3 linked regions of the Saccharomyces cerevisiae S288C genome follow. The protein of the gene in region 1 binds, or shares a complex with, the protein of each later gene. Each region holds a gene or a part of one and is shown on either strand. Other genes may lie near its edges. A codon is read from its position in the direction of its gene.

Evidence for each region.
Region 2: the proteins of UBA1 (region 1) and CDC34 are in contact, whole or in part, in a crystal structure (PDB 6ZHU), measured with the Saccharomyces cerevisiae proteins. Residues at the interface, in NP_012712.1 of Saccharomyces cerevisiae: Arg182 (codon at 3,131), Asp200 (codon at 3,077), Arg202 (codon at 3,071), Phe236 (codon at 2,969), Glu584 (codon at 1,925), Ser588 (codon at 1,913), Arg590 (codon at 1,907), Asp591 (codon at 1,904), Pro592 (codon at 1,901), Pro593 (codon at 1,898), Lys595 (codon at 1,892), Ser596 (codon at 1,889), Ile597 (codon at 1,886), Pro598 (codon at 1,883), Leu599 (codon at 1,880), Cys600 (codon at 1,877), Arg603 (codon at 1,868), Ser604 (codon at 1,865), Phe605 (codon at 1,862), Asp650 (codon at 1,727), Leu691 (codon at 1,604), Asn694 (codon at 1,595), Phe695 (codon at 1,592), Pro696 (codon at 1,589), Ala699 (codon at 1,580), Thr701 (codon at 1,574), Ser702 (codon at 1,571), Phe707 (codon at 1,556), Lys712 (codon at 1,541), Pro915 (codon at 932); in NP_010339.1 of Saccharomyces cerevisiae: Lys5 (codon at 1,376), Ser6 (codon at 1,373), Thr7 (codon at 1,370), Ser9 (codon at 1,364), Leu13 (codon at 1,352), Arg14 (codon at 1,349), Tyr16 (codon at 1,343), Arg17 (codon at 1,340), Leu33 (codon at 1,292), Asp36 (codon at 1,283), Ser37 (codon at 1,280), Asn38 (codon at 1,277), Ile39 (codon at 1,274), Phe40 (codon at 1,271), Asp69 (codon at 1,184), Phe72 (codon at 1,175), Ser73 (codon at 1,172), Tyr89 (codon at 1,124), Arg90 (codon at 1,121), Asp91 (codon at 1,118), Arg93 (codon at 1,112), Leu94 (codon at 1,109), Cys95 (codon at 1,106), His100 (codon at 1,091), Gln101 (codon at 1,088), Ser102 (codon at 1,085), Gly103 (codon at 1,082), Asp104 (codon at 1,079), Pro105 (codon at 1,076), Met106 (codon at 1,073).
Region 3: the proteins of UBA1 (region 1) and UBC13 are in contact, whole or in part, in a crystal structure (PDB 6ZHS), measured with the Saccharomyces cerevisiae proteins. Residues at the interface, in NP_012712.1 of Saccharomyces cerevisiae: Asp547 (codon at 2,036), Ser587 (codon at 1,916), Ser588 (codon at 1,913), Arg590 (codon at 1,907), Asp591 (codon at 1,904), Pro592 (codon at 1,901), Pro593 (codon at 1,898), Lys595 (codon at 1,892), Ser596 (codon at 1,889), Ile597 (codon at 1,886), Pro598 (codon at 1,883), Leu599 (codon at 1,880), Cys600 (codon at 1,877), Arg603 (codon at 1,868), Ser604 (codon at 1,865), Phe605 (codon at 1,862), Gly649 (codon at 1,730), Asp650 (codon at 1,727), Leu691 (codon at 1,604), Phe693 (codon at 1,598), Asn694 (codon at 1,595), Phe695 (codon at 1,592), Lys700 (codon at 1,577), Thr701 (codon at 1,574), Ser702 (codon at 1,571), Phe707 (codon at 1,556), Lys712 (codon at 1,541), Thr955 (codon at 812), Met956 (codon at 809), Ser958 (codon at 803); in NP_010377.3 of Saccharomyces cerevisiae: Met1 (codon at 1,271), Ser3 (codon at 1,265), Pro5 (codon at 1,259), Lys6 (codon at 1,256), Ile9 (codon at 1,247), Lys10 (codon at 1,244), Thr12 (codon at 970), Glu13 (codon at 967), Lys14 (codon at 964), Val16 (codon at 958), Asp29 (codon at 919), Asp30 (codon at 916), Asn31 (codon at 913), Leu32 (codon at 910), Arg33 (codon at 907), Asp60 (codon at 826), Asp61 (codon at 823), Met64 (codon at 814), Leu83 (codon at 757), Arg85 (codon at 751), Ile86 (codon at 748), Cys87 (codon at 745), Lys92 (codon at 730), Thr93 (codon at 727), Trp95 (codon at 721), Pro97 (codon at 715), Pro117 (codon at 655), Asn118 (codon at 652), Asp119 (codon at 649), Pro120 (codon at 646).

Annotation. Positions count from the first base shown.
Region 1 is NC_001143.9:37,441-42,836, reverse strand, and holds UBA1 (E1 ubiquitin-activating protein UBA1), read right to left. Parts: upstream 3,675-5,396; coding exon 600-3,674; downstream 1-599. Other genes in the region: ATP-binding cassette a-factor transporter STE6, read left to right, coding at 1-414; TRP3 (bifunctional anthranilate synthase/indole-3-glycerol-phosphate synthase), read left to right, coding at 4,684-5,396.
Region 2 is NC_001136.10:560,940-564,449, forward strand, and holds CDC34 (SCF E2 ubiquitin-protein ligase catalytic subunit CDC34), read right to left. Parts: upstream 1,389-3,510; coding exon 501-1,388; downstream 1-500. Other genes in the region: PST1 (Pst1p), read left to right, coding at 2,588-3,510. UniProt on the Saccharomyces cerevisiae protein: Catalyzes the covalent attachment of ubiquitin to other proteins. Capable, in vitro, to ubiquitinate histone H2A. Mediates the initiation of DNA replication (transition of G1 to S phase in cell cycle).
Region 3 is NC_001136.10:628,238-631,146, reverse strand, and holds UBC13 (E2 ubiquitin-conjugating protein UBC13), read right to left. Parts: upstream 1,272-2,909; coding exon 1,242-1,271; intron 974-1,241; coding exon 542-973; downstream 1-541. Other genes in the region: RLI1 (Fe-S cluster-binding ribosome biosynthesis protein), read left to right, coding at 2,613-2,909. UniProt on the Saccharomyces cerevisiae protein: Has a role in the DNA error-free postreplication repair (PRR) pathway. The UBC13/MMS2 heterodimer catalyzes the synthesis of non-canonical poly-ubiquitin chains that are linked through 'Lys-63'.

The sequences.
Region 1 (5,396 bases):
GATGAAATACTTGAAATTGAAATGTATGATGCATTAAAATACGTAGGAATCCATGACTTTGTAATTTCATCACCTCAGGGCTTGGATACACGTATTGATACAACTTTACTGTCAGGTGGACAAGCGCAAAGGCTTTGCATAGCCAGAGCACTTCTGAGAAAATCAAAAATTCTGATTTTAGATGAGTGTACTTCAGCCTTGGATTCTGTCAGCTCCTCTATCATCAATGAGATCGTCAAAAAAGGTCCACCTGCTCTACTAACAATGGTTATAACGCATAGTGAACAAATGATGAGGTCTTGTAACTCGATTGCAGTTCTTAAAGATGGTAAAGTGGTTGAGCGAGGTAACTTCGACACTTTATATAATAATCGCGGGGAATTATTCCAAATTGTTTCCAACCAAAGCAGTTAAACCCAAAGAAAATATAAAACAAAAAACTAAAACATACTCAAATATTCGAGACTACATTAATAATAATAATAATAATAATAATAATAAGTTTTTACCAAAGAAAAAGTTGTCAAAAGTCATACATATATATATACATATTTAATGTATATATTTAATTTATTTTTTTATTTTGGTTAATTAGTTACTCATAGATGAATGGTAATGAAAGGAACTTCAACATCCTCTCCTTCCTTGTCATCTGCGCAAATTTCGAGAATCATTGTAGATACATGTGCCGGAATATCTTTCTTAGTCACTAATTTAACCAATTGAGTTATTGGTAGATTTAGTCTTTCTTTCAATTTCTTTGGAGGGAAAAATGAGGCATAAAGAAGAGAAACGCCATAAGAAAGCATTGTTATTTCTAACCCTTCATCTTTTTCAAAATGTTCAATTAAATCACTTAATTTAATATCTCCCTTGATATCAAATCTATCCCAAATTTTATCATATTTCTTGTTGTTATATTCTCCCTTTGGTGAAGCAATTGGTTCCGAAAAACCGAAAAATGGCAAAGCTAAATTAACAAAGCCATTCTTATATTGCTCAATATCTGTCTTGTTGTCAATCAGTTTATATAATTCCAAATTGACCAAACCAGTAACCAAAGAAGTGGTTGTTGCGATGGCAGGAATAATACGGCCAGCTATGAATTTGGTCTTTTGGCGATCAGCAGTTTCGATGAAGTAGTTTTGAGCTCTACAGTTAGAACAAGCCGTTATAAATTCAATATGATGATTAGTGTCATCGTCTTTCTCGAAATCTACAGGCTCCAGTTTAAAGCCAGCCAAAGTAGAAGGATCTGGTAGGGATGATACCAGCTGATCAATTTCATCTGAGCCATTAGCCGCGTTGGCATTTGGATCCGGATCATCGTCATTAACTTGAATTTTCAAATTGGCATTTGGAGTAAATTCTGGAATTATCATATGATCGATGACGGACTTATACTCGTCCACGTTGGGTTTAGAATTAGAGTCATCACTTTTAATACCATAATTATAAGCGCGTAAACTAGCACCTGCTACGACAAAATGGAAGTGATCGTTATTGTAAATATCAAACTCTAATGGTGTTGGAGCACGCTTAGCACCGGACCAAAATGGTTCACCGTTGGAAGTCTTGGCATCCTTGGGGAAGTTGAACAGTAACTGCTTGATATCATGGTTGAATTTTTTTTCAAATTCTAACCTTGCCCATTTGATACAATCTTCAAAATTGTGTGGTTTACTAGATAGAGAATCTGAGATGGATTCTAGAACTCCCTTGACATCCCCGCTTTGCTTTAGTGTTTGCTCAACGAAATTCGGTTGTGTCAAGTACATATTAACGTTTTCGGCGGAATCAGTGAAGTAACCTTGGAAAAGAGATTTGGCCCAGGCAATGGTGTGATCAATCTTGTTTGGGAAAGAACGTAGGGTACACAATGGGATAGACTTTTCTGGTGGGTCTCTAGAAGAAGAGTATGATTCAGTCAATCTTGGAATGATGACTTGAGTATTACCTTTAGTACCTAGGGTACCAGATTCTAACAGTGGTTTTCTATAAAACACACAACGGCGATCTACGTATGTTCTTGCGTCGACATTGTCTAGAGCGTTGGTGACAAAATCCAGGCTTTCCCAAAAGGAGTCATTAAATATTTCCTCAGTTTCTGGCCCCACTTTATCAATTTTAGCATTTATCTTGCCCTTCAAATCGGGGTTCATAGCACAAACGGCCTCTGCCGCTACTTCAGATTTGTTCTTTCCGACATCCTTTGGTCTAAACAAGAACTGACGGTTTAAGTTGGACTTTTCGATCGAATCGTTATCCGTAACAACGATGTAACCGTCGGAGCCAGAACCAAGCCCCAAAAGTGCCCAATTTTTCAACATCTCACAACCAATGGCACCAGATCCGACAAGAAAGACCTTTGAATTGGCAATCTTTTTCTGAAAATCCAAACCGAAAACCGCGATTTGATTATCGTAACGAGAGTTTACTGGCTGAGTAGTCTTCTCATTTCTTGGGAAGTTTTTAGGATCTGGCAATGATTCCAAGGAATCAAAGTACATAAATTGCTTTAGCGGAGTAAATTTACCAGAACATGCTTTTAACACTTCTTGTGCCACAAGGCCACCGAAAAATGCTACGACACCCGGTATGTCACCTCTTGCCTGATAGGAAAGCTCTTTGATTAAATCTTCATTAACATCTACACCTTCACCCAGAACCTCCGGTTGCTGAACGGACAAATCGGTGACCAACTTGATTAATTCATTGGCGTCTTCGTCATTCATTGTTCTTGGCAGTTCACCATTATGTCTAACGGCAAACTGATGTAAAGCCTGAAATCCCAAATGCAATTGAGCAGCTCTGTCAAATTTAGCAAAATCCGAAAAAACAAACTCAGGATTGGACAGTTGTTGTTTCAAAGACTTGAATGAGATTTTACGGGGTACTTTGACTTCGGTGAAGATACCGCCCTTCTTATACTCGCCATATTCTTTGACTGAACCAATTCTGAATGCAAAGGGCCCCAAAACCTCAACTTTAAAAAGGGTCCCATCATTCAACTTATCAAGACCTTCTACTTCGGAGAACCTGACAAAATTTCCGTCTTCCAACCCGTGTCTGTTATCATCTAGCATGGTCACTGTTCCATCGGGCTCGATGTCTGAAACCATACCAGTGCGAGGTTCTTCACCCGTTGGGTCCAACACTGTGAACTCGTCACCTAGGTCTACGAAGGTGTTACCAAACAGCCCTCTTGTCTCCGAGGAAATGAATCTAATACCGGAGGAATGGCAAAATTCGTTGATTTTCACCTTATCTTCCAAAGAAACAGTGTCCGTAGCGACAACGACCTGGAATTGACTCAATTGGGTAACATCGTCTAAGGAATCCAGCACATTAACCGGGACATATGCGTTCAACTCTGCCAATTTGGCTCTGGTCACATCTCCTCTCTTTTGACCAATATCCTTTTCGGTCAAAAAGAATTGGGTTGATAAGTCTGCCAATTGAACCGGCTCAGGGTCAAAAACGGTCATAGATTTGACACCTGCCAACACAACGTTCTTCGCTATCTCAACACCTAGCCCCTTCAAGCCGAGAATTAATACGTTGGAGGTTTGCATTTTCAACATTGCTTCCTTACCCAACACATAAAGTTGACGAGAATAAAGACTTTCATCGATTTCTCCGGCGGCAGAGAGACCACTATTATTGCTGCTCATAGCTATAGTTATATGTTCTTTGCTTTGCTACTAATCTTACTTTTTGTTTGCTTATATCCAGCGATTGGCGGTTGCTCATCCTACTTAAAGGCCCTTTTTGATCATTTTCTTTTACCTTTATTTGCCACCCGCACCTTTTGTCACACTACACGAGAATATGCCGCATGGAAGCGTAATGGCAATTCAAGAAAGAGCTCTAATATTATTTACAATCACATGAATACAAGATCATAGCTTAACAAGGAGTGGATAGTCAGTAAAGGCGCCCTAAGCTCTACTAAAAACTGGGCTTTAAAAGATGTTCCTCGTCACTTGAGAATCTGTTGTCCCTATCTGGTTCCTCATCATACAATCCACTCCATCGTTTCTCCCACCCTACTACAAACTAGTGAGGCGAACGAGAAAATAAGAAACACTAAGGCTCGCTTTTCCTGCTGGACAGAGACATGCATTAGTGTTTGTTGTTCTCGCGCCAGTCGCTGTTTTTGCTTGCAAGTGCGACGTCCTCTTCTTCTTCTTCTTCTTTCTTCTTTGAGATGCGTAACAACACAACTACATTTTGTATTTTCCTCCCTTTTATACTCCTCCGCTGGAGTATTTTTTCGTATTTTTCACTTTTTTTGCTTCTTATAGGCCTTTTTGAACTATTTTCTGTTAGGGCTTAAAGAAAGCGCAGCAAATGGCTGATTTTAAATGCTGTTTTCTCGAAAGCAATGCTGATGATGTACCACAAAGTAGTATTTGCGCTTAGCTTGTCGATATAAGTATGCCTTTGAGCCAGTATTAAACTTCCTACTATCTCTTCTGGACCTCACCGTGCTATTCATATCACTGACGACGGAAAATGCCTCTTGTAGTAATCATTGAATGATCATCAATGGCTCGTTGACTCATTCTAATCTATAGCAGATATTAAGGTACGCAAAAAGTTCGACAAGGAGCTGGTCAGTATTAACACATTACCAAATCTGTTTGGTTCTACATAGAACGCCATAAAAGTAAGAAAAAAATGTCTGTGCACGCTGCAACAAACCCAATCAATAAGCATGTGGTTCTAATTGACAACTACGATTCCTTTACCTGGAACGTTTACGAGTACTTGTGCCAGGAGGGCGCCAAAGTGAGCGTCTACCGTAACGATGCAATTACAGTTCCAGAAATTGCCGCCTTGAATCCCGACACATTGCTTATCTCGCCTGGACCAGGCCACCCAAAGACAGATTCTGGCATTTCAAGAGACTGTATCCGGTACTTTACTGGGAAAATTCCTGTATTTGGAATCTGTATGGGCCAGCAATGCATGTTTGACGTATTTGGTGGTGAAGTTGCCTACGCTGGTGAGATTGTCCACGGTAAAACGTCCCCAATCTCTCACGACAACTGTGGAATTTTCAAGAACGTGCCGCAAGGTATTGCTGTGACAAGATACCATTCATTGGCCGGGACAGAATCGTCCCTACCATCCTGCTTGAAGGTTACTGCGAGTACCGAAAATGGAATTATCATGGGTGTAAGACACAAGAAGTACACTGTAGAAGGTGTGCAATTTCATCCGGAATCCATCTTGACCGAGGAAGGTCATCTGATGATCAGGAACATTTTAAACGTCAGTGGAGGCACTTGGGAGGAAAACAAATCATCTCCTTCAAATTCTATTTTGGACCGTATCTATGCTCGGCGTAAAATAGACGTCAATGAGCAGTCTAAAATCCCAGGTTTCAC
Region 2 (3,510 bases), on another chromosome or scaffold:
AGAAAATAAAAATAAAAAAGGTAATGAGGAATTAGATGCAAAGAGATATAGATATAAACACACACACACAAATATATATTTATATACATATGTATGGTGATATATATTCAAAAAAAAAAAGTACAGTAACTTAGAAACTATTAGTGGGACGGATTTGGTTTTCTTATTTCTTTCTTTTTAAAAAACTTTCTTAATATACACGTTTGTGGTTATAAGGTGGTGTAAAGTAATGTAATGATATACACTTTTTTTCTCAATTCTTTACCTTCTTCTTTCGTACGGTGTACTGCGAGAAGTAAAATGGGATGATGAATTAATTTTTCTAAATTTTTCTTCGACACTTAGTTATTTTCTTCTTCCCCTGTCAATCTCAGATTATCATAGGGAAAAATGTAAAGTGCTTTATCGACAACGTATCGCGTATGTATAAATTGATTCATGTTTTGCGTTTGAGCTGAATATGTTTTGTTAAATTTTGTCTTCTTTCTTACTGTTCTTTTTTATATTTTCTTTGAAACTCTTTCTACATCCTCCACATCTTCACTTTCATCTTCAGCCTTGTGGGGTTGTTTCCTATCCATGACGCTGTCGTTATCTATACTATCGTCGTCATCATCGTCATCATCTTCGAATTCGATTCTTTCGTCATCGTCGTCGTTGTCGTTATAGTTGTAAACGTCATCATCTTCAAAGGGGATATGGTTGTTTCCATCGTCGTAGTCGTCGTCTTGTAAAATGACGGACCCGTTCTCATCGTCGTCCAAATCACTATCATACCAAAAATTATCCGCCATATCCTTATTCGATTCTGGTTCATCTAGTTTACTTTGAGATATGTACGCCGATTCAGAAGTGGGCATTATGAAACCTTTAGGGATATCTTGTTTCGATCTTTCCACTTCCATTTTGACTCTTTGCTTGTATTGTTCAGGGTTCTTTCTGTAATCAACAGCGGCATCGACATTTGCTGGCGAGTTGATATTGGGGTCCTCTAATAGAGATACTATAGAGATCAACACACTTTCCACGGTCTGCACGGGGGACCACGTTTCAGCATCAGGTTCGTCGGTCATAGGATCCCCACTTTGATGTAAAATAGAAATACAAAGCCTGCCATCCCTGTAAACGTTTGGATGGTAGATAGCCGGCGTAAATCGAAACTGTGGTGGAGAAAAGGGAAAGTCTTCCGGAAATCTCATTTGAGCTTTGAAAAACCCTCCATGATAAATGGAATCCTCATTTAGCACCATAACACCTATGTTCCAAGTGAAAATATTTGAATCATCCTCTAGTTCTATATGAAATGAGGGAATAGCTTTCTTAGGATCAGTAAGTTCTCTATATTGCCGTAACAGTAAGCTAGAAGCGGTGCTTTTGCGACTACTCATATTTACGTTGTATTGTTCTTTTTTCCTTGTTTGGTGTACTAAAAAATAACAGTCGCTATAAGTCCTAAACAGTAAAGGACAAAGATGTCAGCGGCAGAGAGTATAAAGGAGTACTATTCGACTGAAATAACAAACGCAAAGCTCCTATTATTTTGTAATAGTATGCTCTTTATTGTCCTTCTTAACTTTAAGTTTCTGCTCTTGTTCTTTACAGATTCAAGAGGAAACCAAAAAAAAATCAAAGAAAAAGAATCGAATTTTTCCCAAAATGAAAGTGTAAGGAAAAAAAAAGAGGAGATAGAAAATCCGAAGAACCCCAAGGGACGGACAAACACAAGACGATGCTGCACGTGGTTAGTTTTGTAAGCGCAGGTTACGATAAAGAGCATAAACAAATCATTACTAAGAGCGGTATACAAGAATAAAGTGACAAACAGTTCTCCCTATTTAACGCACTTAACGTAGGTTCCATCATTATGATGCTATTGCCACATCAAATCTCCTTTGGACTGAACCCGCATTAGTAATTGCCCGCTTTTCTTTTCTTCCGCGGGTGGGCCCCATAAATAGAAAAAAAAAGAAAGAAAGCGTTTAAATAAATAGAGTGAGCGGATTTCTATTATCTGAAAACCGGGTTATAATGCACGTGATATGCACGTGGGAGCTGGGCGGCTATTTTTTTCTTTTTCAAATGTATTTGAGTCGTTTAAAATAGCACTCCCCGTTGACCCGCCAACTCATTTTTGTTTTCTCTTTACGGAAAAGGCTTTAAATTAAGGCCCGCATTTTCGGTATCCTTGAGGGAAAAAAACCAAAGAAACCCAAAAAAGACCACAAAGCTGGGATATCTTAATTAGTAGAGAGGGCTTTTAGTTTTAATAGTGTTACGAGTCTCTAAAAATAGCGTAGGCACACTGCCCTGATTCGGACTTTGATCAGAGTTTATTACTACAAAGAGTAATGTTGAATGATTGGGCTGGGTTTTCATAGCATTAACTCTAAGTAATATCATTCAACCGCTCAAGGTTCCTTACGAGCAAACCCATATATGCTCTACAGATAAACATATAAATAGCGTGCATATTCTTCTCTATTCAACTCTTGCTCTGTATAGTTCAATAGAATCTTACAGTACATCACGCTGCAATAGATCTAATCCAAGAGAGAAGCAAAAAAAAAAAGCTCGCTATAAAAATATCATGCAATTACATTCACTTATCGCTTCAACTGCGCTCTTAATAACGTCAGCTTTGGCTGCTACTTCCTCTTCTTCCAGCATACCCTCTTCCTGTACCATAAGCTCACATGCCACGGCCACAGCTCAGAGTGACTTAGATAAATATAGCCGCTGTGATACGTTAGTCGGGAACTTAACTATTGGTGGTGGTTTGAAGACTGGTGCTTTGGCTAATGTTAAAGAAATCAACGGGTCTCTAACTATATTTAACGCTACAAATCTAACCTCATTCGCTGCTGATTCCTTGGAGTCCATCACAGATTCTTTGAACCTACAGAGTTTGACAATCTTGACTTCTGCTTCATTTGGGTCTTTACAGAGCGTTGATAGTATAAAACTGATTACTCTACCCGCCATCTCCAGTTTTACTTCAAATATCAAATCTGCTAACAACATTTATATTTCCGACACTTCGTTACAATCTGTCGATGGATTCTCAGCCTTGAAAAAAGTTAACGTGTTCAACGTCAATAACAATAAGAAATTAACCTCGATCAAATCTCCAGTTGAAACAGTCAGCGATTCTTTACAATTTTCGTTCAACGGTAACCAGACTAAAATCACCTTCGATGACTTGGTTTGGGCAAACAATATCAGTTTGACCGATGTCCACTCTGTTTCCTTCGCTAACTTGCAAAAGATTAACTCTTCATTGGGTTTCATCAACAACTCCATCTCAAGTTTGAATTTCACTAAGCTAAACACCATTGGCCAAACCTTCAGTATCGTTTCCAATGACTACTTGAAGAACTTGTCGTTCTCTAATTTGTCAACCATAGGTGGTGCTCTTGTCGTTGCTAACAACACTGGTTTACAAAAAATTGGTGGTCTCGACAACCTAACAACCATTGGCGGTACTTTGGAAGTTGTTGGTAACTTCACCTC
Region 3 (2,909 bases), on another chromosome or scaffold:
CTCTTGCGTTTAATCAACTCTTTTGATTAATTTGTTTCACCTGAGACTCTGTCACAGCAGAAAGAAGCAGCGAAAGTAATACTAAGAGGTAAACCACCGAGTAAGCGATGAATCTGGTTTGTCTATTGTCTGTCTCTATGCAATAGCAGGTAAGATCAACAAAAGCGATAATAACAAGAAATACATTAAAAACTTTATGATCCGGAATTAAACGTGGACCCTCGAGCGGACTAATGCTTACATTAGTGTAGGACGGTCGATCCCGGCTTCCATGGAACGGTTGAAAAATTTGGTGCGAAAAAAAAAAAAAAAACGAACAGGGTAGGAAAAAGTAAACTAAAACGCGTCTAGTAAAAATCTGGCGTAAAACTAAAGGTAGAGAAAACCATTTTAGCGACGCTACATTTTTGAGAAATGCGCCTCTTTAGATGACCATCTATGGTTTTTGCATTTATCGTAAATTTTTTTTTTTTTGCAGCAGCAGCAGCATAGTAATGATATATATTTATATATTCAGTTGAGAAAACTTATACAGAAATGATCACTCGGGTTTCTTCTTTGCATACAATTTCGTCCATTCGCGAGCCTTAGCTTTGGCACCTTGCTCATTCTTTATCCAATCTTCAGCGACGTCATTAGCTAGCGGATCATTAGGATTAGGGCTAGCCAACAGTGCTTGAATGGACAGCAGGACGGTTCTGATCTGTAAAGCGGGTGACCAATTAGTTTTAAGCACATCAAGACATATACGGCCCAACCTATCAATATTGGGATGATATATCTTGGTTAAAAAACGTACTTTCGGTGCTTCCATTGGATAGTCGTCAGGCAGATATAATTCTAATTCGAAAATACCGTCTTCATATGGTGACTGTTCTGGGCCTTCGATTGTTACTTGGAAGTAACGTAAGTTGTCGTCATGTGGTTCTGCTGTAATGCCAGGTACTGGGTCACTTACTAATTTCTCAGTTTCCTATATGAAAGTTCACAAAGACTTTGCGTTTTCTGCCCTAGTAGTTTGTTCTGTTGAATTCCCTCCATATGAGCGTTTGCGGATATGGACAAAGGGAAGGCGGAACGCTGCTACAAACTGGACAAAAAAAGCCTTCTTGTTTTGGAAGTTTTGCGTTAGTATGTAAGTTCTAGCCATTATCAAGAGGAAACAGTGTAGAGTGTGACGGCTCAGACGAAAACGTCACTTCAGATTTCGTATATAATCCACTGCTCTTGTTTGAACATACCTTGATTATTCTCTTGGGTAATGATGCCATTTCTAACTATGTTACAATGAACCTGACCTTATTTGCTAATATTGGAAAAAAAAAGAACAGAAGAGTGTAAAGTACTATTCTCTATAGAGGTGTTTTGGTTCGTGGTGGCGCGCCATCTTTCAATGAATCACTTATCCTTTGTTTTAAAAACACCATAATTTCGGGTAACAATACGGATGCGGCATAATTAACTGAACTATTCTCTTTGATGGTTTAAAGGAAAACAAATTCCTGTTAGATGCCCATTATATTTGTTCACATGTAGAGAAGGCAAAGAAAAAACTGCTTATTGTACTTTGGTAATTTTTTAAATGATATTTAAAACGTTAGTATTTTCTGTTCCCGCGGCTCCCGCAGAATCTAATCATTAAGCTTGACTAGTATCAAGCTTTTTTCCTTCTTGTTCTGCATTCAAGTATTTGTTGGTAGTATTTCTAGACATCGAAAAGCTTTTTTAGCCCAGAAAAAAAGAGATGAAACGCTTAAATATCTCAAAATTAACATGAATTTATATTCTGTAAAAAAAGTATCGTCGCAAAATGAGAAATTAATGTTTAGCGATCTAATAGTGATCTTGAATATTTGACTACTTTGTTTGGATAACTTTTTCAGCATTGTCAGCATGCCCAAGAATAACGATTATTTTGCATCCAGATAAATGCTTCCAAGAACCTTTACTAGTTTTGTTTCTTGGTTTTTTATCGTCTAAATAAAAAAAGACGTCCTTGTTAAATTTCTCCCCAGTTGAAAAAAAATGTCTTGTGGCCTATCATGGTTTACTACAAACTGAATTGGAAAAGGATTTTCCTAATAGTTTGATGTCATGTAAAACGCCCTCGTATCTGCAACGGAAATACACAAATAAAGAAATATCAAATTAGCCGCCGACGTGTCATTTTCGTCGTTGTTGATGATCAAATTATCACAGTAAAAAATAGTACGGAATAGCGTACTTGAAAGGAGCATCGTTTAAAACACCGCGGAGGATAAGAAAGAGCCGGTCATTAGCATCCTACCCTTCACATAGTAAAGACTGAACATGACTATACGCTGCTTCAGTCACCTGTTCATAAGCAAATACCATGGATAGAAAAACAATCTCTTGTTACTCGTGTGCATCGAACCAGATTTCTAGCCGGGTAGTTTTGCAACTGAAAAAATTTTCTATTTTTTTTCTCAATCGCATCGCTCGCTAGCAAAGTGAAAGTGAAAAAAAAAAAATGTAAAACTGGGCATTAACCTTTATTGTTTCTGTATTCTTAGATCTTCATTGTGATCTGTTTCAGCGCGAATTCCACCTAGCCTTCTGCAAAAGTTCTTAAGAAAACACGACAGACCATAATGAGTGATAAAAACAGTCGTATCGCTATCGTTAGCGCTGATAAATGTAAACCAAAAAAGTGTCGTCAAGAGTGTAAACGTTCGTGTCCCGTTGTGAAAACTGGTAAATTATGTATTGAAGTCACTCCAACTTCAAAAATCGCATTCATTTCCGAAATCTTGTGTATTGGTTGTGGTATTTGCGTTAAGAAATGTCCATTTGATGCTATTCAAATTATCAATTTGCCAACTAATTTAGAAGCCCATGTAACTCACCGTTACTCTGCCAATAGTTTCAAACTGCACAGATTGCCAACA